4 linked regions of the Saccharomyces cerevisiae S288C genome follow. The protein of the gene in region 1 purifies or fractionates together with the protein of each later gene. This does not show direct contact. Each region holds a gene or a part of one and is shown on either strand. Other genes may lie near its edges. The genes, in order: TIF4631, DBP2, RBG1 and SRO9.

Region 1 (8,838 bases):
TACCTCTTTGATATTTGATTTCTAAGCCAAGGATGTCGTATTGAATTTCATCATCGCTTTCACCTAGATTTATAATCTTGGTATCGTATTGCATCTTGAGTTTTGCTATAATTCTTTTATTCGAATTTAAGTCCTTGCTGAACAATATCATATCATCAACGAATAAGCAAATTGTTACTTGACTATTCTTAAATACGCATGACCATCCACGAACTTCTTCCATACCACACTGTTTTATCAGGTATGATTTGATAGTTTCGTACCAGTTCGCTCCACTTTGTTTCAATCCATAAAGTGATTTCTTCAAACGTATCAACTTATCATTCATTCCTAAATGTGGTGGAGGTCTTATGTATAATTCTTCTTTGATGTCTGCATACAAATATGCCGAAGATATGTCTAATTGTGTAATATAGTAGTTATTGTCTAATGCAAGTGACAGGGATGTCATTAATGCATAGTGATGTACGGTATTGGATTGCATGCCTGAGTCGTAAGTGTCAGGATGCTGAATATCACCTCTTGCAACAAATCTAGCTTTATGAGTACCGTCACGTTTCCTGTTGAAGATAAACATTGAATTTATTACTCTTTTAGGGTCTATTTCTTTTCTGTCATAATATTTGTCAGTGTCCCAAGTATTCATTTTCAATAGTTGGTTGACTTCTTTGTGGTATGCTTCGATATATTTTTCCTTTTCTTTAATATCTTTATTATAGGTGATTGCCTCATCGTATCTTAAGGTTGTCCGTATTGGTTTGATTGATTTTACTGCTTTTACAGCTGCAATCAGGTGAATTCGTTTCTTCGATCTCGGAGGTTCTAAACTACGCATATTCTTAGTATTCCATGTGTCTCGTGATACCTTAATTTCAGTTTCATTATCTTCTAATGATCTTTTCTTACTGTTGATAGTAGTATAGGCATTAGAGTCACCAATACCACCCAAACTGGAATTAGTTTGACGAGAATTGATCGGTGGAAGTTCTTTAAAGGAGTCTGATAATTCGGTAGGAGGTTCTGGAGGCAGATCGGGAAGTGGAAGATCAGCAATTATAGATTCCTCTGTATTCTCCTTAGGACAGGTATCTGACGTTTTGATAGGAACGACGTGGTGTAGTGAATTACTTTCTGATGAGGAAGTATCGATCGAAGGTGAACGGTGTATAATCCTTTTCTCAGTCTCCTGTTCGCTTGTCTGCGGAACAGTTTTATTATTGGTACCACCCGTACTGGATATTGGTACGTTTGTATGATTAGTCTCATTGTCACTGTACGAGTCTGAGTGTCTGAAATCTTTAGATTTACTGGCGTACGACGACTCATGTGTGTTAGATTGGGACATGGGAGCAAGTAAAGGAACATTTAATTTATGCATACCACCCGAACCGGTACTCTCGATATTGGAAATTTGGGGGGTGCTAGATCTCTTCTTTGATGGAAGAATATTAGATTCAGATATGTTGGGGTCAACTTCTCTGGGTGCGCGAATATTGGTTTTAGAAACACGTTTCGAATCTTCAGTATGAGTTGACGGAGGTGTGGAATCGGTTGGACTCACAGCTTTTGAAAGGACATTTCTCGGTTGCTCAGGATGTAGTTCAATGTCGGATTGGAAGTCATGGTCAGATTCTATGTTAAGATCATTGGATTCTTGGATCTCATTTGACGCAATGAACGAATGATATGAAGCAGTTAAACGGTTTAAGTCTTCATCGAAAGTGAGTGCGTCGTAATTGAATTGATCTAATCTGGATTCCTTGCCCTGAAGAATAACATAGTTAGTTGTATCTACTGTCTTCTTTAAGGATGGAAGATAGATGATATATCCATAAGAGTTTCGAGACGGATGTAGAGCGTAGCCTGGGATGCCACGAGGATGTATTTTGGAGTTAGGGTTGTGATCATTGACGATAACAGGTTGACCGAAAGGTAACAAAGTACTGATATCAAGTCCTGCCAAGCCAGCATGTTGTCTTGCAGATTTTTTGCTTTTAGGTGAAGCTAGTGAATTTCTCACAATAGTAGAAAATTCGATTGCAGAGAACCATAAATGGTTCGGTAAACCACTACATTGCAGTTGAGTACGGCAGTCATCTAATAAGGTACGGTTCAGCCGTTCAGCGACTCCATGTGCTCGGGAATCCGCTGTGGTTGTATAGCATGGAGTTATACCATTTTTTTCAAGGAATTTATGGAGAGTTCTGTTAGTATACTCAGAACCACGGTCCATTTGTATAACTAAGACACTGGCCTGAAACTGGTTTTTAATAAAAGCTAGTATCGTAGTAAAAACATCGAGGATAGAGTCCTCGCGACGGTCGTGTAATGGATAAACCCAACGGAATTTTGTTGTCTCATCAGTAAATGAGATGAAATAGGATGGTGCACTTTTTGGTAGGTTGTGAACTGGACCAAATATGTCAGTATGTAGGTATTGAAAGGGTTCGTATGAATTTTGGTATTTTAGTCGTGAACCTTTGATATGTCTGTGTTTGGTGCTTTTGCCGATTAAACAATCAGGACATTGATAGTCAATAGCACTAGACCAGTCGACATCTGATTCGTTAAAATACGTGATGGTGTTATTTTTAAGTGAGTATCGAATTGTCTGTGCATTGGCATGCGCAAGCATTCGATGAATGAAAGGATAAGGATATTTGCGTGTACTTTCACTTGTATGGACATTATTGATGGTGGGTACGGAGATATTTGATGGAAGCAAGTACTTTTTAGATACCCAGTAAAAGTCTCCATATTTCACGATAGGTGCAAGTACAGTGCCGTCAGACCGTTCTAAGACGTTTTTGGTAAAGCATGCTGTGATATCTACTGCAGCCAATTCATTCAAACTGAGTAAGTCATAGGCTATGTTAGGAGTGTGCAATACCTTTATTGATGTTTTGGTGTTGTCCTGGAAGTGAAATTGTAGGTCACCAATAGCGTTAATTGGTATATTTCTTTTTTGAGCATCAACTACGTTTATGTCAGGATTAGATGATGCTGAGTGTATGTGATGAGCAGATCTTATAAGGGTTCGTGATGCTCCTGAATCGAGAAGGAGGTGTCCAGGGAGTTCATCATCAGAATGATTAGTATGATTTACTGTAGATTCAGTAAGTTTCTGGCCTAAGATGAAGGTCGTGCTTATTGTTCAATTGAATCGGTTCAGTAGTTGATTTACTGATGGAATCGTTGTCCGTGCTGGGAGAGTTATTAGATGTGGATACATTGTGAGCCCTGGCTGTTTTCGATTTCGAATTATTTGTTTTTTGAGGATTCCGAGCTATAACTTTGGGTTTGGTTGTATTCGTATAGCTGCGAGAATCATTCTTCTCATCACTCGGATTTCTCCTGTAATTAGGTTTGCTGTTTCTCGATCCCTGTTGTTCTTCATAAATAGCATGGATATCTAAGAACAGTTCAGCGACTGTCATATTTAGATGTCGATGACGTGTGTAGCGTAAAAATTTATATTCGCCAGATAGACCTCTCATAATTAATTGGCATGCGACCTTGTTATTGATATGAATGCCATTATTGTTCAGTCTGTCGATAATGTTTGTGACTTTTGTTTCAAATGCATCTGCAGGTGTACTGCCATTATATTGCAAATTTGCCAGGGTCACAATGTCGTTTGCCTCTTGGGTATCAGATTGCATTTTTTCAATACTTTTGGAAAGAATTTTCATGATATCCGTATAATCAACGGATAGGATGTCTTTGACCCAGGTAGGTAGGAATTGAGAGGGAGCAAATATTTGAAAAGTGTTATACAAGAAGGTGAGTTCATCATCAGTGATCTGACGTACGGGTTTTCCGTTTACTGTCGGAATAATACCACCGAGATTCGAGTTTTGTAAAAATTTGATGTATGTTTTAACCCAATTTGGAAAGTCATTAGGTGAGGTTAACATTGGTGGTGGTCTGACATATTTTTTAGTGGATGTCATATCAGAGTCCGCTGAGGATGAATCAGTAAATGTATTACCTGACTCAGGTGATGGAGTGCTCAGAGGCGTTCCAACTGATGATGGATACTGCGGAAACTGTGATTGTGGCCCAGGTGGAAAGTACATAGGCGACATTTGATAAGGTGTATACGGAATCATAGATGGGTGTCCGTAAAATGACCAACCAGATGGATTGGCTTGGTTTTGGGTCATCATGCACTGCTGTGGGTACGGCCCATTCTGTGGAGGTGGTACTGAAGCAGGTTGAGGAGAGGCATGATGGGGGTTCTCTGGAACAGCTGATGAAGCAGGTGTTGTTGTCTGTTGAGAGTTAGCCTTAGTGGAAGCCTTATCATATTCTTGAATTTTGGAAGCTGAAACGTCTAACGGATCTTGATTTGTGTGGACTTCCTTAGAAGTAACCGAAGCACAGGCGCTACCATGAGATATATGTGGGTAATTAGATAATTGTTGGGATTCCATTGTTGATAAAGGCTATAATATTAGGTATACAGAATATACTAGAAGTTCTCCTCGAGGATATAGGAATCCTCAAAATGGAATCTATATTTCTACATACTAATATTACGATTATTCCTCATTCCGTTTTATATGTTTCATTATCCTATTACATTATCAATCCTTGCACTTCAGCTTCCTCTAACTTCGATGACAGCTTCTCATAACTTATGTCATCATCTTAACACCGTATATGATAATATATTGATAATATAACTATTAGTTGATAGACGATAGTGGATTTTTATTCCAACAAAATCCACATTCTCTTCATATATACATATATTGGTTGTTGTTACTACTTTAGCTTTTTTCCTCTGTTCGTTTCAAGATCTAGCTTGCAATTATCCCTCTAGGTAATAACCAGCATAGTTGTCGTCGTTTCATGTGACCTATTCCCCTTTAATTGGATCAATCTTCCAATAAGAGTGGTTTCGTGGTCTAGTCGGTTATGGCATCTGCTTAACACGCAGAACGTCCCCAGTTCGATCCTGGGCGAAATCATTTTTTGAAGATTACATTAATAAGGCTTTTTTCAATATCTCTGGAACAACAGTTTTTTTTTACTTACTAATAGCTTTAAGGACCCTCTTGGACATCATGATGGCAGACTTCCATCGTAATGGGATGATCATATGATGGGCGCTATCCTCATCGCGACTCGATAACGACGTGAGAAACGATTTTTTTTTTCTTTTTCACCGTATTTTTGTGCGTCCTTTTTCAATTATAGCTTTTTTTTTATTTTTTTTTTTTCTCGTACTGTTTCACTGACAAAAGTTTTTTTTTCAAGAAAAATTTTCGATGCCGCGTTCTCTGTGTGCAACGGATGGATGGTAGATGGAATTTCAATATGTTGCTTGAAATTTTACCAATCTTGATATTGTGATAATTTACTTAATTATGATTCTTCCTCTTCCCTTCAATTTCTTAAAGCTTCTTACTTTACTCCTTCTTGCTCATAAATAAGCAAGGTAAGAGGACAACTGTAATTACCTATTACAATAATGACAGACGAAACTGCTCACCCGACACAATCTGCTTCAAAGCAGGAATCTGCTGCTCTGAAACAGACAGGCGATGACCAGCAGGAATCTCAGCAACAACGTGGCTACACCAACTACAACAATGGTAGCAACTATACCCAAAAGAAGCCTTACAACAGCAACAGACCTCATCAGCAAAGAGGTGGTAAATTTGGACCAAACAGATATAACAACCGTGGCAACTATAATGGTGGCGGTAGTTTCAGAGGTGGACACATGGGAGCCAACAGCTCAAACGTGCCATGGACTGGTTACTATAATAACTACCCCGTTTACTACCAGCCCCAGCAAATGGCGGCCGCTGGTAGTGCCCCTGCTAATCCAATTCCTGTCGAAGAGAAGTCACCTGTTCCAACTAAGATAGAAATCACTACCAAGTCTGGTGAACACTTAGATTTGAAAGAACAGCATAAAGCCAAGCTACAGTCTCAGGAAAGATCTACTGTGTCTCCGCAACCAGAGTCAAAGTTAAAAGAAACTTCTGATTCTACTTCTACTTCTACTCCAACTCCTACCCCTTCCACTAATGACTCTAAGGCCAGTTCTGAAGAAAATATATCTGAAGCTGAAAAGACAAGAAGAAATTTCATCGAGCAAGTTAAACTTCGTAAAGCTGCTTTAGAAAAGAAGAGAAAGGAGCAACTTGAAGGTTCTAGTGGCAACAATAATATTCCAATGAAGACTACCCCAGAAAATGTGGAAGAGAAGGGATCGGACAAACCTGAGGTAACCGAAAAAACCAAGCCTGCTGAAGAAAAATCTGCTGAGCCAGAAGTTAAGCAAGAAACTCCAGCTGAAGAAGGTGAACAAGGAGAAAAGGGCCAAATAAAGGAAGAATCCACTCCAAAGGTGTTAACCTTTGCTGAACGTTTGAAGTTGAAGAAACAACAAAAAGAACGAGAAGAAAAAACGGAGGGGAAGGAAAACAAGGAAGTGCCAGTACAGGAAGAGACTAAGAGCGCCATCGAGTCTGCTCCTGTGCCTCCCAGTGAACAGGTTAAAGAAGAAACTGAGGTCGCCGAAACCGAACAGTCAAACATTGATGAATCTGCAACAACTCCGGCTATCCCTACTAAATCTGATGAAGCTGAAGCTGAAGTTGAGGCTGAAGCAGGTGATGCTGGAACAAAGATTGGACTTGAAGCTGAAATCGAAACTACAACTGATGAAACTGATGATGGTACAAACACCGTTTCTCACATATTGAATGTATTGAAAGATGCTACACCAATTGAAGATGTCTTTTCTTTTAACTATCCAGAAGGTATTGAAGGTCCTGATATCAAATACAAGAAAGAACACGTCAAATATACATATGGCCCAACTTTCTTGCTTCAATTTAAGGACAAACTAAACGTCAAAGCGGACGCCGAATGGGTCCAAAGCACTGCTTCTAAAATTGTCATTCCACCAGGAATGGGCAGAGGAAATAGATCTAGAGATTCTGGCAGATTCGGCAATAATTCTAGTCGTGGCCATGACTTTAGAAATACCTCAGTGAGAAATATGGATGACAGAGCTAATTCAAGAACTTCATCAAAGAGAAGATCAAAGAGAATGAATGACGACAGGAGATCTAATAGATCTTATACATCAAGAAGAGACCGCGAGAGAGGCTCCTACAGAAATGAAGAGAAAAGAGAGGACGATAAACCAAAGGAAGAAGTTGCTCCACTTGTTCCAAGTGCTAATAGGTGGGTGCCAAAATTCAAGTCTAAAAAGACTGAAAAGAAGCTAGCCCCTGACGGAAAGACCGAACTATTGGACAAGGATGAAGTTGAAAGAAAGATGAAGTCACTACTGAATAAACTTACTTTGGAAATGTTCGATGCTATTTCATCTGAAATTTTGGCTATTGCAAACATATCAGTATGGGAAACAAATGGTGAAACGTTAAAGGCTGTGATAGAACAGATTTTCTTAAAGGCCTGTGACGAACCCCATTGGTCTTCTATGTACGCGCAATTATGTGGTAAAGTAGTTAAAGAATTAAACCCAGATATAACAGATGAAACTAATGAAGGTAAGACAGGTCCAAAATTGGTTTTGCATTACTTGGTTGCTAGATGTCATGCCGAATTTGACAAGGGTTGGACCGATAAATTACCCACAAACGAAGATGGTACTCCATTAGAACCTGAGATGATGTCAGAAGAGTACTATGCAGCTGCTTCTGCTAAGAGAAGAGGTTTAGGTTTGGTTCGTTTCATCGGTTTCCTATACCGTCTGAATCTGTTGACTGGAAAGATGATGTTCGAATGTTTCCGTAGACTAATGAAGGATTTGACGGATTCTCCATCTGAAGAAACTCTAGAGTCCGTTGTTGAATTGTTAAATACTGTTGGTGAACAATTTGAGACCGATAGTTTCAGAACGGGTCAAGCAACATTGGAGGGTTCGCAATTGCTCGATAGTTTGTTCGGTATTTTAGACAATATTATTCAAACTGCTAAGATTTCTAGTAGAATCAAGTTCAAGTTGATCGACATTAAAGAATTAAGGCACGACAAGAACTGGAACAGTGATAAGAAGGACAACGGTCCTAAGACCATTCAACAGATTCATGAGGAAGAGGAGAGACAACGTCAATTGAAGAATAATTCAAGATCTAATTCAAGACGTACGAACAACTCCAGTAATAGACACTCTTTCAGAAGGGACGCTCCTCCTGCATCAAAAGATAGCTTTATCACAACCAGAACATATTCTCAAAGAAATAGCCAAAGGGCTCCTCCTCCAAAGGAAGAACCAGCTGCACCAACTTCTACCGCAACAAATATGTTCAGTGCATTAATGGGAGAAAGTGATGACGAAGAGTAACATGAATAGATCATGTTAAGTATCGAAAATGTCACTTGGATACAAGGATGTTGGTAGAAAGTCTAATAAAATAATAAATTAATAGTACAACACAAATTTAATCTTACGTTTAATCCTGCGCTATTAATTGAAAATATATGCATGGAGAAGAAAAAAAAAGTGTCCCTAATTTACCATTGTTATATTTTCTCGATTAATGGGCTCATTTCTTTTCACTAAAAGCTATAAACAAGTTTGATGCATTTTAATGGGTAATCCTCTTACTGTGCTTTTTTTTCCTATCTTGTTCTATATGTCAATGCCTTTCTGTATTTTTATTTATAGCTTCGCCAGTCTTCGTTTACGATATGTTTTATATAATAGACCACTCAGCATATGTATAGTTTTGTATATTTATATCATTTATTAGCTGACGGCTTTAACTTCATATTTCGATTTAATCATGCTACTGCTTCACCATTTGTCCTTTTTTTTACAGAGGCCACGAAAGGAAAGGACCG
Region 2 (8,606 bases), on another chromosome or scaffold:
ACCAAAGGCTCTCACCCGCTTCCTCTTTATCGAAAGATACCCCTCTTCGTGATGGTGATATTTTACAGTTAGGAATGGATTTTAGAGGTGGCACGGAAGAAATCTATCGTTGTGTAAGGATGAGGATTGAGCTAAATAGATCATGGAAACTAAAGGCAAATTCGTTCAACAAAGAAGCTTTACAGCGTTTGCAGAATTTACAAAAATTAACTACAGGTATTGAAGAAGAAGATTGTTCGATTTGCCTATGTAAGATCAAACCGTGTCAAGCAATTTTCATATCACCATGCGCACATAGCTGGCATTTCCGTTGTGTAAGAAGATTGGTCATGCTCTCATATCCGCAATTTGTTTGCCCCAACTGTAGATCAAGTTGTGATTTGGAGGCCTCCTTTGAAAGTAGTGACGAGGAAGATGAAAGTGATGTGGAAAGTGAAGGTGATCAACTGGTGGATCAACTTAGCGTCTTAATGGAAACTTCAAAGGATGTTGATAGCCATCCTTAAGGTCAAAGAAAATACACAGTTTGAAAAATAAAGAAAAACCACCGAACTCCACATCTCGTACCTTAATATTATTTTAATTATTCTCTTAGTATTTATATATTTGCGCCGTTTACATATTTGACTTATTGTTTTCAGGAATACAATACCTCCATCGTTGGCAGTCAATTTTGCTTTCACATATAAAACTAAAAAAAAAGTAAAGAACTCGGTTAATCCTCGGTTAGTTTGCCAAGCTCACCTATTAATCTTAATAGGACTTCTTGAGTTTGTTGTTTGCCCAGACCATACTTATATATTTCATGCCCACCTTCAACTATTTTCCATTCTTGAGTCTTGTGAGAAATTTTGGTCAAATCTCTTTGCCAATCGCCCCATAATGCCGACTTCTTCACCATTTCCTTAGAGCTAACGATGCTTGTCTTCACATTTTGCAAAGATTCTGCATTGTTTGTCACATCTCTGTAACTTAGAATTGAACTCGTCACGCTTTCCAAAAACTTGGAACGCAAGAAACGTCCTTGATATTTCATATCACGCCCATATATACGTTCTTTAGACCCATGATGAGCTAGTAACCATGAAGTCTGTAATCTCCATCCTAAACTCGACCAAATGCCTTTCCACCATAATCTAAATTCGTTATGCCTTTCTATCTCCGAAGGTAACCAAGTCTTATCATGGTTGCGGCCATCCCCATCATTACCATTGCCATCGTCGCCATCGTCGCCATCACCACGGCCTGGAGGTAGTAATCTTTGAATGTAGTTTTTTAACAATAGTTCTTCATGCCATGATTCAACAAGCATCATGCTATCCACAATATCGACATTCTTGGCGGTAAATACTCTTGTAAATAGCCCGCCAAGGTCGTATCCTACTGTAGTGAAGGGACCTTTAATTTTTGCATCTTTGATCAATGCGTACCTTAAAGATTCCGCAACCATCGCAATAGAGATTGGGGCGGGAGGAGAATCGCTCAACCCGTACCCTGGTCTATCGTATAGACAATATCTTTGAATTTTGTCTAAATGATATAGTTCCTCAATCCAGGTGGCAGAAAGGTAACCAGTATCATAACCTCCGTGTTCAAACAAGATGATAGGTTGCTTCTTATTTTCAGACAAATCTGTGTTGTTTTCTTGATCAAATACGTCACCATAACAAGTTATATGCAACTGATAGGTTTTAGCGGCATCTACGTAATGGAACGCCTCGTACGAGGGCGACTGAACGGTTATTGGTAATTTGTGAGTCAATCTGTAGGTATCCAATGTCGTTAAAAGTGTATTCAGGGTGAATAAAGCGAAGAATATTAAAATTAAAAACTTAATAGTATTCCTGAACCCAATGGATACCCATTCTGTCAATGTATGTTTGTTTTGGACCAGCTGCGAGCGGTGGGTGGGGGTTGGCGACCCAGAGCCATATTGGCTTCTGTCCCTGTTTTCGGTACTATTTGTATGGTTTTCGTTGAAAGTACTAATATTAGCATCATCAATTCTGCGTTCCTCCAATGGCTCATTTATTGAGTTGTTGTAAAACAAGAGATACCAATCTAATATTGCCCCAATAAAAAATGAAAACGAAGTCCACAAATATGTAAACGTGCCCACAAAGCCGATTCTTTGCCTAGTGTATTTAATTAGATAGGTCAATGCTAGATTGAACAACGTCAAAACACAGAGAGTTACATTTAAGCTGTAATCTAAAGCTGAGTACAGTCCCAGCTTATTAAACCAGAGATTGAAAGAATTAGCTATGATCGAGATGAATATTAAAGTCAAGTCGTTAAAACTTGCGTACCTGTTACTGAATCCGAAAAGAATATTGATATTGAAAAAGAAATCTGAAATCAAAGTGGTGACTAGCCAGATGGTGTTAATTAGAATTAGGATATTTAATATCCATTTGGAGTTATGAATAAAGATTCTATAACCTTTGCGAATTTGAAAGAGACTATCTTTGATGAACCCATCGGATTCAATGTCACGACCTTCATTAACTGCTGGGCCATTCGCGGATCCTGCACCAAGGGTCCGGTGGTTGTTGTTCAGCAACGGTTGCGCTTCTGGGTGTTCACTATCTATATCTGTTCTTTCCATTCCCGTCCTTGCCGGATCATTATCTAAACCATTAGCCTTCATGATCTGTTCGCTCTGATGCCTACAGTTCTTTCTTCAATGGCTTTCCTTTCCTTTCCTCCTTATAGAATATAGCAAGGCATCTAACTTTTAGTTTTTCTCTCATCCCTTTAAACTGCACGATGGTTAAAATTAGGGGTCCGAATAGCCTTGCAAGGAATAGATTAAAGAACACTATATATGCATAGCCACTTCAAAACGTGCTGAGAACATGCCATCAAGGTTGACCAATACGATTGCTGATTCGACAACTTCTACATTACATAGGCATATACATATCAGAAAAACGTGCTTTATAGGTACATTTTTTAATTCCTTAAACATAACTTGCTTCTATTTTGGGATAGTTCCTTTTCTTTGAACTACGTTTTTTGGGCAGAAATATAAAAAAAAACCGAAAAAAACGGCACGCAAGAAAGCTTATTCAAAAAGACGCAACAATATCATAGATTATTCTAAGTACCAACAACGTGATAAACTTTGTTCTAATAAAGCTACATCTTATCTCTTCTGTACAGCTTTATTGGGGTGAATCATATTTACTTCAATCCGGGTAATGGTAAACGTAACAAGTGATAGAAATATTCACCTGCGATGAGCTGGAAAAAAAAAAAATTTCAAAAGAAAACCATACTAATGCTGAGGTATAAAGTAACGAATTGGGGAAAGGCCATCAATCCAAAGTCGGAAAAATTGAACTTCACATAAAGTACCAGGCAAATGACTGAAGACATCGAACAAAAAAAGACCGCTACAGAGGTAACACCACAAGAACCAAAGCACATCCAAGAAGAAGAAGAACAGGATGTTGATATGACTGGCGATGAAGAACAGGAAGAGGAACCAGACAGGGAAAAAATTAAGCTTCTCACACAGGCAACATCTGAAGATGGAACTAGTGCCTCTTTTCAAATTGTAGAGGAGGATCACACGCTTGGAAATGCCCTTCGTTACGTTATAATGAAAAATCCAGACGTAGAATTTTGTGGTTACTCGATACCTCATCCTTCTGAAAACCTATTAAATATCAGAATTCAAACCTACGGTGAAACGACCGCGGTGGATGCTCTTCAAAAAGGGCTAAAGGACTTGATGGATTTATGTGACGTTGTAGAATCTAAGTTTACTGAAAAAATCAAGAGCATGTAGATGTTACGGATCGACTCAAAGACCCTCTGTCACTCTGAAATTTCTAATAATTATGCACACCACGCTAGTATAGATACAGCTTGATTTGTGTATCCCGTTTATAGTCGTGCTATTTAAAATCTATGTATAATATAACCAGATAAAAATACACCTTCGTACAAGGTGCTAATAATGTTGAGAATTCGAAATTCCTTTTTAAAGGCGTATTCCGTATTGAATGATTGAAAAATTTATTTCTTTTTTTATTTCTTTTTTTTTTTTTTTTTTTTTTTTTTACGCCGATGCTCATCGCAGAAAATTTTTCCTTCAGTTTATTTGTCTTATAAAAAGACTGTCCTACGCTCAAATAACTTATACTTTTCTGTATCTCATTCAAATTATTTTCTTGTCAACAACCTGTAACAGAATTAAGCACTATTAAGGCAAATTTAGAGCAAATATGACTTACGGTGGTAGAGATCAGCAATATAACAAGACTAACTACAAGTCTAGAGGTGGCGACTTCCGCGGTGGAAGAAACTCTGATAGAAACTCTTACAATGACAGACCACAAGGCGGTAACTACCGTGGTGGTTTCGGTGGTCGTTCCAATTACAACCAACCCCAGGAATTGATCAAACCAAACTGGGATGAAGAATTACCCAAATTGCCAACTTTCGAAAAGAATTTCTATGTTGAACACGAAAGTGTTCGCGACAGATCGGACAGTGAGATTGCTCAGTTCAGAAAGGAAAATGAAATGACTATTTCCGGACACGATATTCCAAAGCCAATCACCACTTTCGATGAAGCTGGTTTCCCAGACTACGTTTTGAATGAAGTGAAGGCTGAAGGATTTGACAAACCAACTGGCATTCAATGTCAGGGTTGGCCAATGGCTTTATCTGGTAGGGACATGGTTGGTATTGCTGCCACTGGTTCCGGTAAGACTTTGTCTTATTGTTTACCAGGTATTGTTCATATCAACGCTCAACCATTATTGGCTCCAGGCGATGGACCAATTGTTTTGGTTTTGGCTCCAACTAGAGAATTGGCTGTTCAAATTCAAACAGAATGTTCCAAGTTTGGTCATAGTTCCAGAATCAGAAATACCTGTGTCTACGGTGGTGTTCCAAAAAGTCAACAAATCAGAGATTTATCTCGTGGCTCTGAAATTGTTATTGCTACTCCAGGTCGACTAATTGATATGCTAGAGATTGGTAAGACTAATTTGAAGAGAGTCACTTACCTGGTTCTTGATGAAGCTGATAGAATGTTAGATATGGGTTTTGAACCTCAAATCAGAAAGATTGTTGATCAAATCAGACCTGATAGACAAACCTTGATGTGGTCTGCCACTTGGCCAAAGGAGGTGAAGCAACTAGCCGCTGATTACTTGAATGATCCAATTCAAGTTCAAGTTGGTTCTCTAGAACTATCTGCCTCCCATAATATTACTCAGATCGTCGAAGTTGTTTCTGATTTCGAAAAGAGAGATCGTTTGAACAAGTACTTAGAAACAGCCTCTCAAGACAACGAATACAAGACATTAATCTTTGCTTCTACGAAAAGAATGTGCGATGATATCACCAAGTATCTAAGAGAAGATGGATGGCCCGCCTTGGCTATTCATGGTGACAAAGACCAAAGAGAACGTGACTGGGTTCTACAAGAGTTTAGAAACGGTAGATCCCCAATTATGGTTGCTACTGATGTGGCCGCCAGAGGTATCGGTATGTTAAAATTTTCTCCATTTTTTTATTGATTTTATTTTTTTTTGTTACCCCTAACGATATTACAGCTATTTCCTAATGGCTTTTAATGACATTAATGACTTTATGACAACCATGATAGTACAGAAGAGAGACCTTTTTTCTTTTTTTTTTTTTTTTCTTTTTTTTTTTTTTTTCTTTTTTTCTTTTTTTTTTTTTTGAGCCTTTTCGAATCTAGACTCTATGTGAGTCTATTCTCGATGGGGAGTATCGGAAATTGAATTTTAATTCGAATGACTTCTAATGCATCACTACAGAAAACTAATATTGGGAGGATGAGAAAAATTGACTTTAATTAGTCGTTTTGAGAGACGGGAAATTATAAACTCGGAGAAGTGTATTTGTGTTCATGATTTGCACTTCATGTCAAAAGAAATTTCGCTTTTTGACATCGGCGCAAATAAACAAGGAATTGGCTTTTCAGCTTATTTCTAGAACGCATACATACGCTTCGTTGATCGTTGTTTTTTTCAATGCTTGGCATTTGTACAAGGGTAGATTGTTTTATTGGAAAAATAATAGTATATTCTACTTTGAAATGCCGTCATCCTTCTTGACTATTGTTATTCTCATTTTGTGTAGTTTATGCATTTTGTAGTTATATTGAGATACTGTTGCATCCCAAGTTCGAATTATTAAGAAGTGCTGATAAAAATGGAAAATAACAAAATAAAAGGATTTCAACCATATTCAGAAATCATTTACTTTGTTTTCCTTTTTTTAAGTGCTAGCTTTCATTCAGTTTGAATAAGGATTCTGGAGTATTGATGATTAAATATTTCGAATTCTTTAATAAAAATATAATTTCTGATAATCTTCAAGCCAGGGGGAAATTTGAGACAATGTTGGGAGTCCAAACATGAATTTGTGGGGGGCATGAAAATAAAGTTCATATACAGAATAACGAACCAAATTACTAACAGTATGCTTTGTAAACGTTTGTTTACTTCTTTATTTTTTCAGATGTCAAAGGTATCAATTACGTTATCAACTACGATATGCCAGGTAACATTGAAGATTATGTTCACAGAATCGGTAGAACTGGTAGAGCAGGTGCTACTGGTACTGCTATATCTTTCTTCACCGAACAAAACAAAGGTTTAGGTGCTAAATTAATCTCTATCATGAGAGAAGCTAATCAAAATATTCCTCCCGAATTATTGAAATACGACAGGAGATCTTATGGTGGCGGTCACCCAAGATACGGTGGTGGTCGTGGTGGTCGTGGTGGCTATGGCCGTAGAGGTGGTTACGGTGGTGGCCGTGGTGGTTACGGCGGTAACAGGCAGAGAGATGGTGGCTGGGGTAACAGAGGTCGTTCAAACTATTGAAGTCAAAGTGATTCAATTCATTCATCTCTATTAATAATAATTATATAAGTTGACTGCACCTTATTTCTTCAATGCATGATAAAATTTTATTTGCTGTATACTACATTTTTAATATTTTAAAGCTCTTCGTCACACTTTTTCTTTAATACTCCTAAGTTTTTGGGTGAACGGTGGCAACTGGATTGAAGTTATTTCGCATAACGCTTAGTGTGCCGTAAAATAATAGGACAGACACTTTTCTTTGTTCTCGTACAACCCTGGGGCCGATGTTAAACGAATGATTTTCAAAAAAACAGTAGACTTACAAAGAAGTCGTGCACTAGCGCTTATGGGTCATTTTAGAATGAGCGAAATGCACGACAACCAGGTTGATCGTATTGAAGTAAGAGCAGAGCTTTATTTGCCTTTTTTTTTTTTATCTAAGACGATGATTTTTAGCCATACACAAAGATAAGTATATACATATTAATTTATAATAATTCTATCTGCCAGGCAGATTCTATGATACAGTGACATACTTCTATGCGATATAGTAGCATAAGTTAATGTTGTAAGACATTAATTTGGCCTTGATTGCTTGTAAATAAATAATTTAATAAACTGAAACGAAAAATTCAATTGAGTTTGGAGAAGAGTGTGGGCTATTCTGGAAGAAAAATTATTCGTTCAACAAATAATAAGCAACACCTAGCATTAAAATGGCCAATATGACAACCAATGTACCACTACCTTTACTTTGGTTTTCAGAGGTAGATACCTTTTCCACAGAAACGCGCTCACTGGTCTTGTCAACGTCACCAATGTATAAACCTTTCAGTAGTCTCAATGCTTCGTCAGAATGACCGATATCGACAAAGCTTTCTGTAGCATCTTGTCCACCCAAATCCATTATAATTTCATCACCACCTGGATGTTCATCTTTGAATTGAGAAACATCGTAAACTTTGTCATCGATGATAATCCAGAAATTTTCTGGGCCATTGTGTTCGGCAACTTCTTGGTAACTGTAAACTTTAGGCATGATTGTTTGATATTTTATGTTGTAGTTGATTGATTTTCTTTACTATGAAGAAAATGAAAATCGAATTTAAATATTAACGAGGAAGCCTGAACGAAAATTTTTGAGAAAGTTTCAAAAGCTTCTTGTTCTTTATATAGTTATTGGAAAAAGGACAATATATATATTTGTTATTTATTGATATAATAACAATGCTTCTCAAATATCGCTTTTTGGCCACGAATGCGACAAAAATTTTCTCGTTATGCTAACCTCTCTCACTATCTCGATCTCGTATAGCTTTCTTTTTTGCAGCTATTGTTCTTTTTCTGGGCCGTTAAATTTTTCATCCGGAAACTCCAGGCTATTACCCGCTCCGTGATTTTGGTCGTTGAATCTTCGTAAAAGCAATCATGTAAATATCATTGAATACGGACAAACGGAACTATATTGCTGGAATTAATGATATAAATGGTTTCCCAAGTTTGCTATATCTCCTATTCTATCTTACAAAACCCTTTTCTCAGGGTGGATGAGAAGTGACAAGTCACCATTTGAATTCGATACCTGACTTGGCTAATTTTTTTATCCTTTCTTCATGTTTTTGCTTCATGTTATCCTTTAGCTGTTTTACTGGTTTGGTGATACCTTTCTCTACTAGAACTCTCTTCTTGTATTTGTACAATTTCTCGATTTTAGCTCCTTTTGGTAATACACGCACTTGTAGTAGA
Region 3 (4,186 bases), on another chromosome or scaffold:
TCCAAACCATGCATAATGTCAATAACCAAAATTGCGATGTTACACAATGAAGAACCTCTTGAACGTAAGTTAGAGAAGGATTCGTGACCTGGGGTATCAATAACCAAAAGACCTGGGACATCAAAAGTTTGTTTTTCATATTCAGCCATAACTTTAGTTTTTGCCTTAATAGCGTCGATGGGGAAATAAGTGGCACCAATCTGTTGGGTGATGCCACCAGCTTCACCACCTTGAACGTTGGTTTGTCTGATTTTGTCTAACAATTTAGTCTTACCGGTATCGACATGACCCAAAATACAACAAATTGGGGAACGAAGATCTTTTTTGTTTGGAGAAGCGCTGGATGGAGTTGGAGTAGCTGCTGGTGTAGCTGCTGGTGTGCTTTTGGCAACTTCATGCACATGTGCTCTTTCTTCTTCTTCTTCTTCTTCTTCTTCTCCTTCTTCTTCTTCTTCGCCTTGATTTTGGTCTTCATTTTCATGGCTTGCGGTGGATTCTTGCGTTTCTTCGTTGGTTCCCTCCTCGTCATCATCACCAAGAGCCAAATTTTCCCAATCATCAATCAAAACATCTTCGGATTCTTTGAGTTCGTCATCAGGTACAACTTCCGAGTCTTTCTTAGAGTCAGATTTAATGGCTTCGGAGGCGTTTTCCTGGGTTGTTCTCTTCTTCTTCTTGCTGTAAACAACCTTCTTTGGTTTGTTTTCTTCTCCATCCTTCTTGGCCAGACCGGCAACTTTGACGTTACCGGAAGACAATAAAGCGGCACGTCTTCTTTCCAATAATTTCTTTTCTTCTTTTTGCTTTCTGGTCAATAGCTTACCTTCAGCCTTTCGTTTTTCACGCTTTGCCTTCTCCTTTTCCTTTTTAGCTGCTTTAGCTTCTTCCTTCATTTTTTCTTCGTTGGCCAATCTTTCCTCCTCTTCTTTCTCCAATCTTTCTTCTTCCTCTCTTTCCAACTTTTCTTGTTCTTCAAGTTGTTTCTTCAATTCTAATTGACGTCTCAAAGCAGCCAAACCGGCAGGTACTTTCTTGGCTGGCTTCTTAGCACTAGCACTTGGTTTATCACTTTCACCTTTAGATTTTTGGGATTTCTCAGCAGCAGCCTTCTCAGCAGCAGCTTTTTCAACATTTTGCTTGTTCAACTCCTTGTTCTTCTCCTTTTGAGCTTGCTGTTGGGCCTTCTTCCTGGCAGCTTGTTCTTTCTTCTTCTGCTTCTCCTTTTCCTTTTTTTCCTTCTCCTTTTCCTTCTTGGACTTTAGTATAGGCTTACCATCCTTCTTCTCTTCAATAACCTTCTTTTCTTGCTTCTTCTTCGATTGCTTCAAAGTAGACATGAAGTCGCCTTCAATGGCCTCAGCACCTTCAGCACTTGCACTTGCTTCTCTGGAAGTGTCATCTGCACCTGCGCTGCTTTCTGGATTTGGAGTTGGCGTGGCACTGATTTCTTCGTTCTGGGCGGCGTCTTCTTCGAATTCCTCATCCCAGTAGTTCTGTTGGTTCTTTTTACTCTTTTTCGCCATCTTTCACTTATCTGATGTTCCTGATTGCCCTTCTTATCCCCTCAAAGTTCACCTTTGCCACTTATTCTAGTGCAAGATCTCTTGCTTTCAATGGGCTTAAAGCTTGAAAAATTTTTTCACATCACAAGCGACGAGGGCCCGTTTTTTTCATCGATGAGCTATAAGAGTTTTCCACTTTTAAGATGGGATATTACGGTGTGATGAGGGCGCAATGATAGGAAGTGTTTGAAGCTAGATGCAGTAGGTGCAAGCGTAGAGTTGTTGATTGAGCAAAATGTCTACTACAGTTGAAAAAATCAAAGCTATCGAAGATGAAATGGCCCGTACCCAAAAGAACAAGGCCACATCTTTCCATTTGGGTCAACTGAAGGCCAAGCTGGCCAAACTGAGAAGAGAATTGTTGACCAGTGCTTCATCCGGCAGCGGTGGTGGTGCTGGTATTGGTTTTGATGTGGCTAGAACTGGTGTGGCCAGTGTGGGGTTTGTCGGGTTCCCGTCGGTGGGGAAATCTACATTACTGTCCAAGTTGACTGGTACTGAGTCTGAAGCAGCTGAGTACGAGTTTACCACCCTGGTTACCGTCCCCGGTGTCATTCGTTATAAAGGTGCCAAGATCCAAATGTTGGATTTACCTGGTATTATCGATGGTGCTAAGGATGGTAGAGGTAGAGGTAAGCAAGTTATTGCCGTGGCAAGAACCTGTAACCTGTTATTTATCATCCTAGATGTGAACAAACCCTTGCATCATAAGCAAATCATTGAGAAGGAACTGGAAGGTGTGGGGATTCGTCTGAATAAAACTCCGCCAGATATCTTGATCAAAAAAAAAGAGAAAGGTGGTATTTCCATCACAAACACAGTCCCATTGACCCATCTGGGGAATGACGAAATCAGAGCCGTTATGAGCGAGTACAGAATAAATAGCGCTGAGATTGCCTTCAGGTGTGATGCCACTGTGGATGATTTGATTGATGTTTTGGAAGCTTCGTCAAGAAGATACATGCCTGCCATCTATGTGTTAAACAAGATTGATTCTCTGTCAATAGAGGAATTGGAATTACTTTACCGAATTCCTAATGCCGTGCCTATTTCGTCTGGTCAAGATTGGAACTTGGACGAGCTGTTGCAAGTCATGTGGGATAGACTAAATCTAGTCCGTATTTACACTAAACCAAAGGGCCAAATACCAGATTTTACCGACCCTGTGGTGCTAAGATCAGACCGTTGCAGTGTCAAGGATTTTTGTAACCAAATTCATAAATCTTTAGTGGACGACTTTAGAAATGCTCTGGTTTACGGTAGCAGTGTCAAACATCAACCTCAATACGTGGGGTTGAGTCACATTTTGGAAGACGAAGATGTTGTTACCATCTTGAAAAAGTGATTCTCGAACAAAAAATAATATAAGAAATGAAAAAAAAAAAAAATAATTCATAATTGAATATACAAGCATTTGTATTCGAAAAGGGGGTATCGGTTATTTTTTTTCGCTGTTTTTCTTCCACCGTTTGAGTATAGAGCATCTATAACATTTAATTATCTCTACATAATGAATAAAAAAAACAGTCGTAATAATTAAAAATGTTATGCTACCGAGGGCTCTTCAAAAGCGACCTCGCTTTGTGGTACCCATAAGCATTCTGTTATCGATCGTAGAGTTTTCTGGTAAATTGACACATCTCCTCTTGACTGAGCTCGTCTGCCTACGTTTTAGAATTTCCTGGGTTTGGCCAAACTCCCACAGTTCTTTATCATTCAGAATATCGAACTCATCGGATGTACTGATGGATATGTTCAGGGTTGCTTTCATATATTGCAAAGAATCCTGGATGGTCACTAGTGGATAGTAGGTCATCACCCTGGAAATAAGAAATTTGAGAAGTGCGCAATCATAGGAATGTGATGATATAACCAAGATATTTCCAAAATGACTAAATGACTTAAAGAGTGCCAACAGATCGTTGAATGCCTGGTACTGTACCAAGGGCTCACCACTGAGGACATTCGAATTACAAAACTGGGGCAGTGATTGGATTGTATCGGTTTGTGCCTGTGTTAAAGATGTTTTTATCTTTTTGCCCATCTGCAAGTACTGTCCAACGAATTTCTGTAGTAGTATTGTATTGTTTCGTATATACAAATCAATTGCGGCCTTCTTTGTTGCTACTGCTGCTGTAGTTGGTGAGCAAAGATTCACGACTACCGAATTAGAGTTCCTGAAATACTGGGTATAAAACGACGCTATCTTTTCAGTACTTAGATTGACACCAATGATGAACTTAATATTTTCATATTGCAAAAGAATAGGTTGTGTCAATATCTCACAGGGTCCAAAATAAACATTGGTATCCAGTTTTTGTAACTTCAGGTCATCTATGGGGCTTGAATCTTCGATTTCCATATCCATAGCAGTGTTATTTCCTTTGCTTTTTGCGTAATTATTGGCACTATGTCACTGATTATATAAGCCACTTCAGTTTTCTTCCCATCTAATTAATTTTTCTTCGAAACACATTCTGTAAATAAGGGATTATGTTATGAAAAGAATACGTACTAGATGGCTAGAAGAATAGGACGGAGTAGCACTTATCGTTTCTGATAAGAGGATCAATCCTTTGAAATCTTGAAACGCGAATAAATTTAGGACACTAATTGAATCTGCC
Region 4 (7,608 bases), on another chromosome or scaffold:
ACGTACCCAGATGATACCGAATCATCAGCATCATCTTCCTCGAGGCCGGCAAACGCGAATTCTAATCAATCAAGAGTATGGTGCTGCGATGCCTTCCACACTGCGGAACGTGCGGGCTGGATGGTGGTTGGATCGCCCGACAGAGAAGCTATTGTACACTCACTCACCACGAAAGAGTCACTTTTTAGCTTAAAAGGCAGGACTTGTATCGCGTTGGGCCACGATGAAAACATCTCTGGGAGAAAATCAATCGATCCTGCAAAAGTCCTTTACAAACCAACAAGTAGCAATGGTAACTGGCAATATGTGGAGGACGACGAAACCTTTCCACGTGTGCACGACGTGAAAATCAGCTATGACGATAAATACGTGCTTTTAATGACCCACCAGGGCGTTATAGATGTCTACGATTTCAGTGGGTTCCCCTCCAAAGAGGAGCTATCTAAGCAAACAGTGGATCCCAAAAACTTTCTGATTCCAAGGATCGCAAGATTGGACGTGGGCAAAAACATGACTTGTATCTCATTACCGCTAAATACCACGCATCAAGGCTTCCATAGGCAACAAATATCCGAGTCTCAACATTTGGTATTAGTTAGCCTTCAAGATAACGAATTACAAATGTGGGACTATAAAGAAAATATTCTCATACAAAAGTACTTTGGACAGAAGCAACAGCACTTTATTATCAGATCTTGCTTCGCCTACGGTAATAAGCTTGTCATGAGCGGATCAGAAGATGGTAAAATTTACATTTGGGATAGAATTAGAGGTAACCTAGTATCTGTTTTATCCGGTCATTCCACGGTAATGAGTAATTCCACAAAACCCATGGGGAAAAATTGTAACGTAGTTGCATCAAACCCTGCAGATAAAGAAATGTTTGCTTCTGGCGGTGATGACGGTAAGATAAAAATCTGGAAAATTTCAAGAAATTAATACTCCACCTTATATATATACGTAAGCAAAGTTTTATGTAACAAAAAAAAAAAAAGAACTAATCCAACCTTCTTTCACTTTCAGGTAAAACTTGACTGAGTTCTTCAGCCTCTCTTCTACCTCTCTTGACATCCAAACAGTTTAGCACAGGCAATGATAGCATCAAAAGCAAAAAGAAGAAATAAAACGAATAGCGAATATTATGCGTTTTATCGGTAAGCAGTCCAACAAGGAAGGGTCCCAGGATGGACGACCCCTTATCTGTGATACTGAACATACTAAAAAACGTGGATTCTTTTCCTGGAGGTACAATCAAACTGAAAACTGATCTTGAAACCGCGGACAGGCCACCTAGTGATAATCCATACCAAATGGCCAATAAGAACATTTCAAACTTATGCTTTAAACCGAACGCATTGAAGAAAAATCCAAGAATACCATAAAATGGTATGAAACTTGCCCAAATGATAATGTACATCAAAGTTTGACTAGAAGTCCACCGAAACTTTGTGGCAAGAAATTGTGGAATCATAAAGGCACCCAGCATTGCATTTACAACGGTCAAAACACTTATCATGATTAAATTGAGGGTACTCATGTGCAGTTCTGCCTTGGAGAACAAAACCGCTGTAGAATTTATAGTTGTAATGGAATCACTAATAATAAACCACGCAATAAGAAAAATCATCACATCTTTCAATAGTCTGGCATGTTTAAACGATTCGAAAAGCGAAACCCAACCATATGAAAGGTAATTCTTCCAGTTTAGTTGACCCAAGGCGTCTTGCTCACCGGGATACGGACTGCGGGCGGATGCTAATGTAGAATCGTCAACTCTTATCGGTATTGTCACATCGTCAATCAACCAGATCATGGGCAGTTGCCACACAAACCACCAAATCCCAACGAAAAGAACAGCCACTTGAACATCCTGCTTACTGCCCTTTTTAGATGCGACTAAGAACATAGATACAATCTGAACAATGAGGGCACTTGAATAACCTAAAGATGCACCTCTACCGCTAATAACAGTAGTTAACGAGTCTACCTTATCAGGTTCATAAGCTCCTTGACTTTGACATTTCAAAGAATCCTTGACAAAAATGGGCAGAAGAGAATTCCCAACAACATTGATAACGCCAAAACAACCATTGGCCACTATATAAAGCCCAGCCAGAGAATAAATCTGGGTATCATTCAATTTTGAAATCGCAACAGTCGACAATGCGCCCACAATACCAAACCAAACCAGAATTCTGCCTTTGAATTTAACGCTCCCCCAGAGATCTACTATCCCTGAAACGGAAATGACTATTATAGTTTGGAATAAAACGCTAAGGGAAAAGACATATAATGCAAAACTTGAAGTATCTACGAAGATCCGATTGTTGAACAAACCAAGAACACACTTATCTGAATCACTACCCGTTTCTGACAGGCAGGGTATGGAGTGATCGTGAACTTTTACACCATTTATACTCGCAAATTGCTGCAGTAGTAAGGGAATATACGTTGAAACCGCAGAAACGACAAATGGTTCGCTAGAAAATGAGTAAGCGTACCATCCCTTGATATTGTTTTGGGCTTTTTTTATTCGATAGTTCGTTACCGATTCATTCATATCATTTATAGTTCCATAGCTCATATCTAATGTAGAGAATATGTTATGAGCAAACTATTGCTTATAAGGGCAAAAACCGTGGTAATATAGGTACAGTTTGAAATCTTTCCTTTTGTTTACACTACGCATCTTTCAATAGCTGAGGTATTTTCGTTTAGGAAAATACCGTTTTAAGGAATTAATTTTAGCAATTTCCTAAAATTGTTGAGCGGCGCTATCAATGCCGCACAATACAACAATTAATAATCTAAGACACGTTGCATTATACATGACAGAAGCTAAAGCATGGTCTTAGATGACAATAAAAAGGAATTTGACAGCACAAAAGAGAAAAAAAAAACTATACATAAAATTTTTTACATATGAATTGCTTAGAGTAAAATAGGCATTTTTCATATCTTCTTCCCAATTATTAAATTAGCAAAAAATTGAATAAAAAAAGCAGGTGGTTTAAGAATTGCGCAGGGAGAAGAAAGAATATCATATCTCATGATGGTAGCCACTTAGACAGAGAGAAAACGAAGTGAGAAGAGGCTAGTATTTTTATATCTTAAAAAAAAAAAAAAACAAAAAAAAAAAAACATAAATATTTGTATCTTATTGCTTATGATGATAATGTACAATGAATTCAAAACATGAAAATTGTTCAAAGTTTTTATTTTTATTTTCTCTTTCGTATTAAACTGATGGAACAAATGAAAAAAATGGATAAAAAAACAAAAAAAAAAAAAAAAACAAAAAAAAAACAGCTTTGCTGGAGGATGATTAACTTTTAATTTTTTTAATTATTAGGTTTTTCAATTTTTTATGGTTTTTTGTGTAAAATGCAATGAACGAATCCATTTTTTATTTTGCAAGTGTGAGAGGCCTTTATAAGGAAGACTCGGATTCACCGGCAGCAACCGGCGCAGAGTCTTCTTTGGTTTCTTGTTCTTGAGAAGCGAGTTCAGTGGATGATTCCTCTTCTTGTTGAGGAACAGGTGGTAGGGATATCATGAATTGGTCCAATGCATCGCCGACCAGTTCTTTTTCAATATTAATTTCAGTTTCAAAAGTTTCTGGTAACCAGTTTGACCAGCTCTTGGAACGAACGAAGTACTTATCCAATGGAGATGGTTCTTTGGCTTCACCGGTAACGTTATCACCTTCCTTGGCGGCCAAAGTACCTTCTGCAACATTGACGGTAGCGGCTTCGTTAGCGACAATTTCTCTCAATGCGGCTAAAATCAGGTTAGTGTCACCTCCGAAGGACATGTTAACAACTCTGTAAAACTTAGAGATTAAAGACAATGGAGCAAAACCATCCTTGGAGAGTTTGGACCTTAAGTAATTGTCGACGGTCAAGTTTTCTTCGCTGAAATAGTATTCAATTTGTCTAGCAATGTTGTTGATGGCCATTAACACTGGTTGGACTGGATAAAACTGTTGCTGTAATTTGACCATAGGTTGTTGAGGATGTTGTTGGTTGTGATGGAAGTGGTTGTGGTATTTAGAGCGGTTGTTGTTGTTATTACGAGCGTTGCGTCCTTGGTAAGGTTTAAACTGTGGTGGGAAGCCTTGGTTCTGAGGCATACCGGCGTTATTACTGTTGTGGAACTTTCTCCTTTGAGGACCATTGCTGTTATGGTGATGACTGTGGTGATGATTACGGTGGTGAGGTGGTTGTTGCTGTTGTGTAGATTGACCATTTTCTTGAGAGGTAGCGTCTTTTGAATCTTCCTCACCTACTGCCGATTCAAAGCCATCTTTCTTCATTTGTTGTTGCTTCTTAGCATTATGTTGGTGATGCTTCTTTTTCCTGTTAGCATTACTCGACGATGTCGACGATGCTGCAGTTTTGTTGTTTTTGCTCTTGTTGCTGTTGCCATTACTTGCACCATTCTTGGAACCGGATCTTTTGGTGCCAGAGACGGTAATGGAGGCCTTGATGGGAACCCACTTGGTAGCAGTCGATGATTTCGGAGTGGGTGTTCTGTTCTTCTTCTTTCTTGTGGCATCCAAGTCTTCTATTGAGATAGTAGAAACAGGGATCTCAGTAGGAGCAAGTTTCCATGGGGAAGATGTGGGCAATGGTGCCGGCGTCAAGTTGACTTGCTTGCTCTTGGAGCTCTCTTGTTCTTGCACTTCTGGGACTGGGGCAGTAGCAGTGTTTGCGGCGGCGGTTTCAGCAGACATCGTGGGCAGAGAAGTGAAAAGAAGATGAAACACGTTAGCAGGTCCAGAGTAATCCTGATGTTCTATTACCGATCTAGGATCCCAAAAGATCTTCATAAAACCGAAAAAGATGTTAAGAAATGTTTACACTTGTACTTTTCTTTCTTTGTTCTTGACCTACCAGAAGTGAAAAAAATTTTTCATTGCGTGGGTACATCCGTGCACCATTTCTGAAAAATTTGCGATGAGCATCCCTCAAAATCCGTATTATCCGCTAGTGTTTTGAGGTTCAACAAGACAACATATAAGAAGGGAAGAAGGAAAGGAGGCAATGAGAACTTGGGTCTTGCTCGAGAGTCCAGATCCACATGCAGGTTCAAAAAATGGTGAGAGATAACAGTAATAACGGTAGCGATAAAAGCGTCCATTGGGAGAGGAGGAATAATAACGGCGCAGGCCCCCGTTATCGTTCCAGAAGCGGTAATACCGGTGCTTTGGCAACAAAACTAAGTAATGGGACGCTCTCTGTCAGAGGATTAGTGAAGGACCGAACAGGAAGCGGCAAGATCGCGGGCTGTGTGGAGGCGTTTCTGGATGCCAGGACCCAATTGAATACGCCCTGGGACCGTGCTAAGTGCAATTGGCTGGACCAGATAGATTACTATGTACAGTTGAGAAAGACCGCGTTTTCTAAGGAATTGGACCAACTAAGGAAGCCCATGATCGATGCATATGTGGCGGAGATGAGGCAGAAGTTTGATGCCTCCTATGGACAATCCAGGGCGCAATTGGAAGCCAAACTGGCGCAGGTGGACAGTGAATGGCATATGGTACATGGTGATGTGCATGCAAAACTGGAAAAACTCGTGGAAGAACGCCGGTTTTTGAAAAGATTAAGCGACACGATCGTACCACCCAGGTCCAAAAGATCACAGCGGCTGTCTCCATTGACCAAAGAGGACCGAGCCAACTGTATCTGTCCGCAGCCCAAAGGAATGAGCGACACCGCTTGGTTCGAAGCCATTCAGAAGAAAATGTTAGGAATGAATGGTACCATCAAGCTCCTAGAGACAGAACAGAAACTACTGGCTGACGAGAAAAACAGCGTGAGGAAGACGTTCTGGCCCATGGTGGAAGCACATTCACGCTCGAATGAATTTGCTTATCTGGAGAAATGCATCAGGCTGATGGCCTCTCAGAGAGCAATATGCTTTTGTCTTGATATAGAGGCTTTCGAAACAAACCAGAACGTAATCACCGAAATTGGGATTTCAATTTATGACCCCAGGGAAAATATGGTGCCGTCAATGGTTCCAATTACAAAGAATTACCACCTAATTATCGAGGAGTCCCTGGAACTTAGAAACCAAAAATGGGTCTGTGACTACAAGGATTGCTACTTATTGGGAGAAAGCTATGTTTTGAGCTTGAAAGAGTGCGTGCATTTCATTCAATCACTAATAAACTATTACTTGGTCCCGGTGACCGAAGAAGACAAGACATGGTCAAGGGCATTTGTTGGTCATCACGTGAGCGGGGATCTTAAGTGGCTGGAGACTATTGGTGTCAAATTCCCTGGCAGAGGGTATGAAGGCCATCTGGACCATACGCTGCTTTTGGCTGAAACTCCCGGTGATCTAGACGTGTTCATCTTGGACACTGAGCAGTTTTACAGGAAATCGTATGGCGAAAAGGGCAGCAGTCTGGGCAAGATTCTGCGGTTGTTCGAGATACCGCATGCGTTTCTACACAATGCCGGTAACGATGCCTACTATACCCTGCATTTGTTCATGAAGTTTTGCGATGTTAATTTCAGGAAAATAAGCGGCATGGACGATGTTCTTAAAGTAATGGGCCAAGTAAAAGTTTGGGGAGAACGAGACGTACGAGAGCCTAAAGTGGTGCCCATGTCGTATGCCATCTCCATCGAGGAGGCAGTCAAAAATCGGACGTACCGCAAGGGCGTCAAGAGCAGTAGGAAGGAAAGAGTCTGCCAAACGGAATTCGGTGGGTTAACGTATTTCGGAACTGCTAAAGACGCCTTCACAAGCACTCTTCCGACACACTAAATATATTCATCGATTTTTTTCCTGTAAATACAAACACATGCTTGTATACATATACATATACATATATATAAGCTCATTATAAACCTGTGTGCATGGAAAAAACTTTGTCTGCCCTTAATTTGCAAGAATAGGTTCTAACAATTCCTCCAATTCACCAGTCTCCCTCAATTCCTGCAAGTCGTCGTTGCCTCCAATATGTTTACCATTAATATAGATGTTTGGCACGGTTCTTTGGCCATTAATCTCATATAACGCAGCCTGAATGTCTGCGCCTTCCTTCATGTCATTCAATTGCAAAACCAGAACTTTGGACCTGGGAACCTTTAACTTTTCAAAAAGCGTGTTTAGGGCTGCATGGCAGTATGGACAGTACGTTTTGGATGCGACGAAGATCTCGTTTTCTGCAATAAGGTCCTTGACGTGCTTGATAGTTTCTTGAGATACCATTTTTTTTCCTTCTGAGGTTTTGTCTATTTGTATAATTATGCGAATGCTCGTATAAGTACTGCACGAAGTTCTTTATTTTATGCTAAAGTCCCTTTTTATATTATATAAACTTTTCATTTATTTTATATATTTACTCCTTTCAAGACAAAATTCCCACATCACGTGAATCAGGAGGCGCAAGGGGGGTAGTAAGGCAGTAGTAGATAAAGAAAACAAGCATCGCAATCTGGAAACGCCGTTGCGGCTGCTCGTTATCTGTAGACAGCTCACTTGTGCATGAAGTTCATGTTTTATAGATGATGGAGCCATACTTCAAGGTGATAACTATGAAACTGTTTTGACCTTGACGTGTAAAGTGATCAAGGTAATAGTTAAACT

Evidence for each region.
Region 2: the proteins of TIF4631 (region 1) and DBP2 purify together in Saccharomyces cerevisiae (affinity purification with mass spectrometry; 3 studies listed by BioGRID, with this or other methods). This does not show direct contact.
Region 3: the proteins of TIF4631 (region 1) and RBG1 purify together in Saccharomyces cerevisiae (affinity purification with mass spectrometry, with the first as the bait; 3 studies listed by BioGRID). This does not show direct contact.
Region 4: the proteins of TIF4631 (region 1) and SRO9 purify together in Saccharomyces cerevisiae (affinity purification with western blotting; 4 studies listed by BioGRID, with this or other methods). This does not show direct contact.

Annotation. Positions count from the first base shown.
Region 1 is NC_001139.9:818,580-827,417, forward strand, and holds TIF4631 (translation initiation factor eIF4G), read left to right. Parts: upstream 1-5,479; coding exon 5,480-8,338; downstream 8,339-8,838. Other genes in the region: YGR161C-C (gag protein), read right to left, coding at 3,114-4,436. UniProt on the Saccharomyces cerevisiae protein: Component of the eIF4F complex, which interacts with the mRNA cap structure and serves as an initial point of assembly for the translation apparatus.
Region 2 is NC_001146.8:409,404-418,009, forward strand, and holds DBP2 (DEAD-box ATP-dependent RNA helicase DBP2), read left to right. Parts: upstream 1-4,235; coding exon 4,236-5,508; intron 5,509-6,510; coding exon 6,511-6,878; downstream 6,879-8,606. Other genes in the region: ubiquitin-conjugating protein DMA2, read left to right, coding at 1-506; YNL115C (uncharacterized protein), read right to left, coding at 716-2,650; DNA-directed RNA polymerase core subunit RPC19, read left to right, coding at 3,368-3,796; CYB5 (Cyb5p), read right to left, coding at 7,537-7,899; rRNA-binding ribosome biosynthesis protein NOP15, read right to left, coding at 8,423-8,606. UniProt on the Saccharomyces cerevisiae protein: ATP-dependent RNA helicase involved nonsense-mediated mRNA decay and ribosome biogenesis through rRNA processing. Associates directly with chromatin, correlating with transcriptional activity.
Region 3 is NC_001133.9:73,764-77,949, reverse strand, and holds RBG1 (GTP-binding protein RBG1), read left to right. Parts: upstream 1-1,797; coding exon 1,798-2,907; downstream 2,908-4,186. Other genes in the region: FUN12 (translation initiation factor eIF5B), read right to left, coding at 1-1,523; YAL037W (uncharacterized protein), read right to left, coding at 3,127-3,930. UniProt on the Saccharomyces cerevisiae protein: Involved in ribosomal function.
Region 4 is NC_001135.5:53,944-61,551, forward strand, and holds SRO9 (Sro9p), read right to left. Parts: upstream 4,736-7,608; coding exon 3,431-4,735; downstream 1-3,430. Other genes in the region: glucose-induced degradation complex subunit GID7, read left to right, coding at 1-939; ATG22 (Atg22p), read right to left, coding at 998-2,584; GFD2 (Gfd2p), read left to right, coding at 5,083-6,783; dithiol glutaredoxin GRX1, read right to left, coding at 6,898-7,230. UniProt on the Saccharomyces cerevisiae protein: May overlap in function with tropomyosin and may be involved in organization of actin filaments. Acts as a multicopy suppressor of RHO3 mutation. RNA-binding protein which may modulate mRNA translation.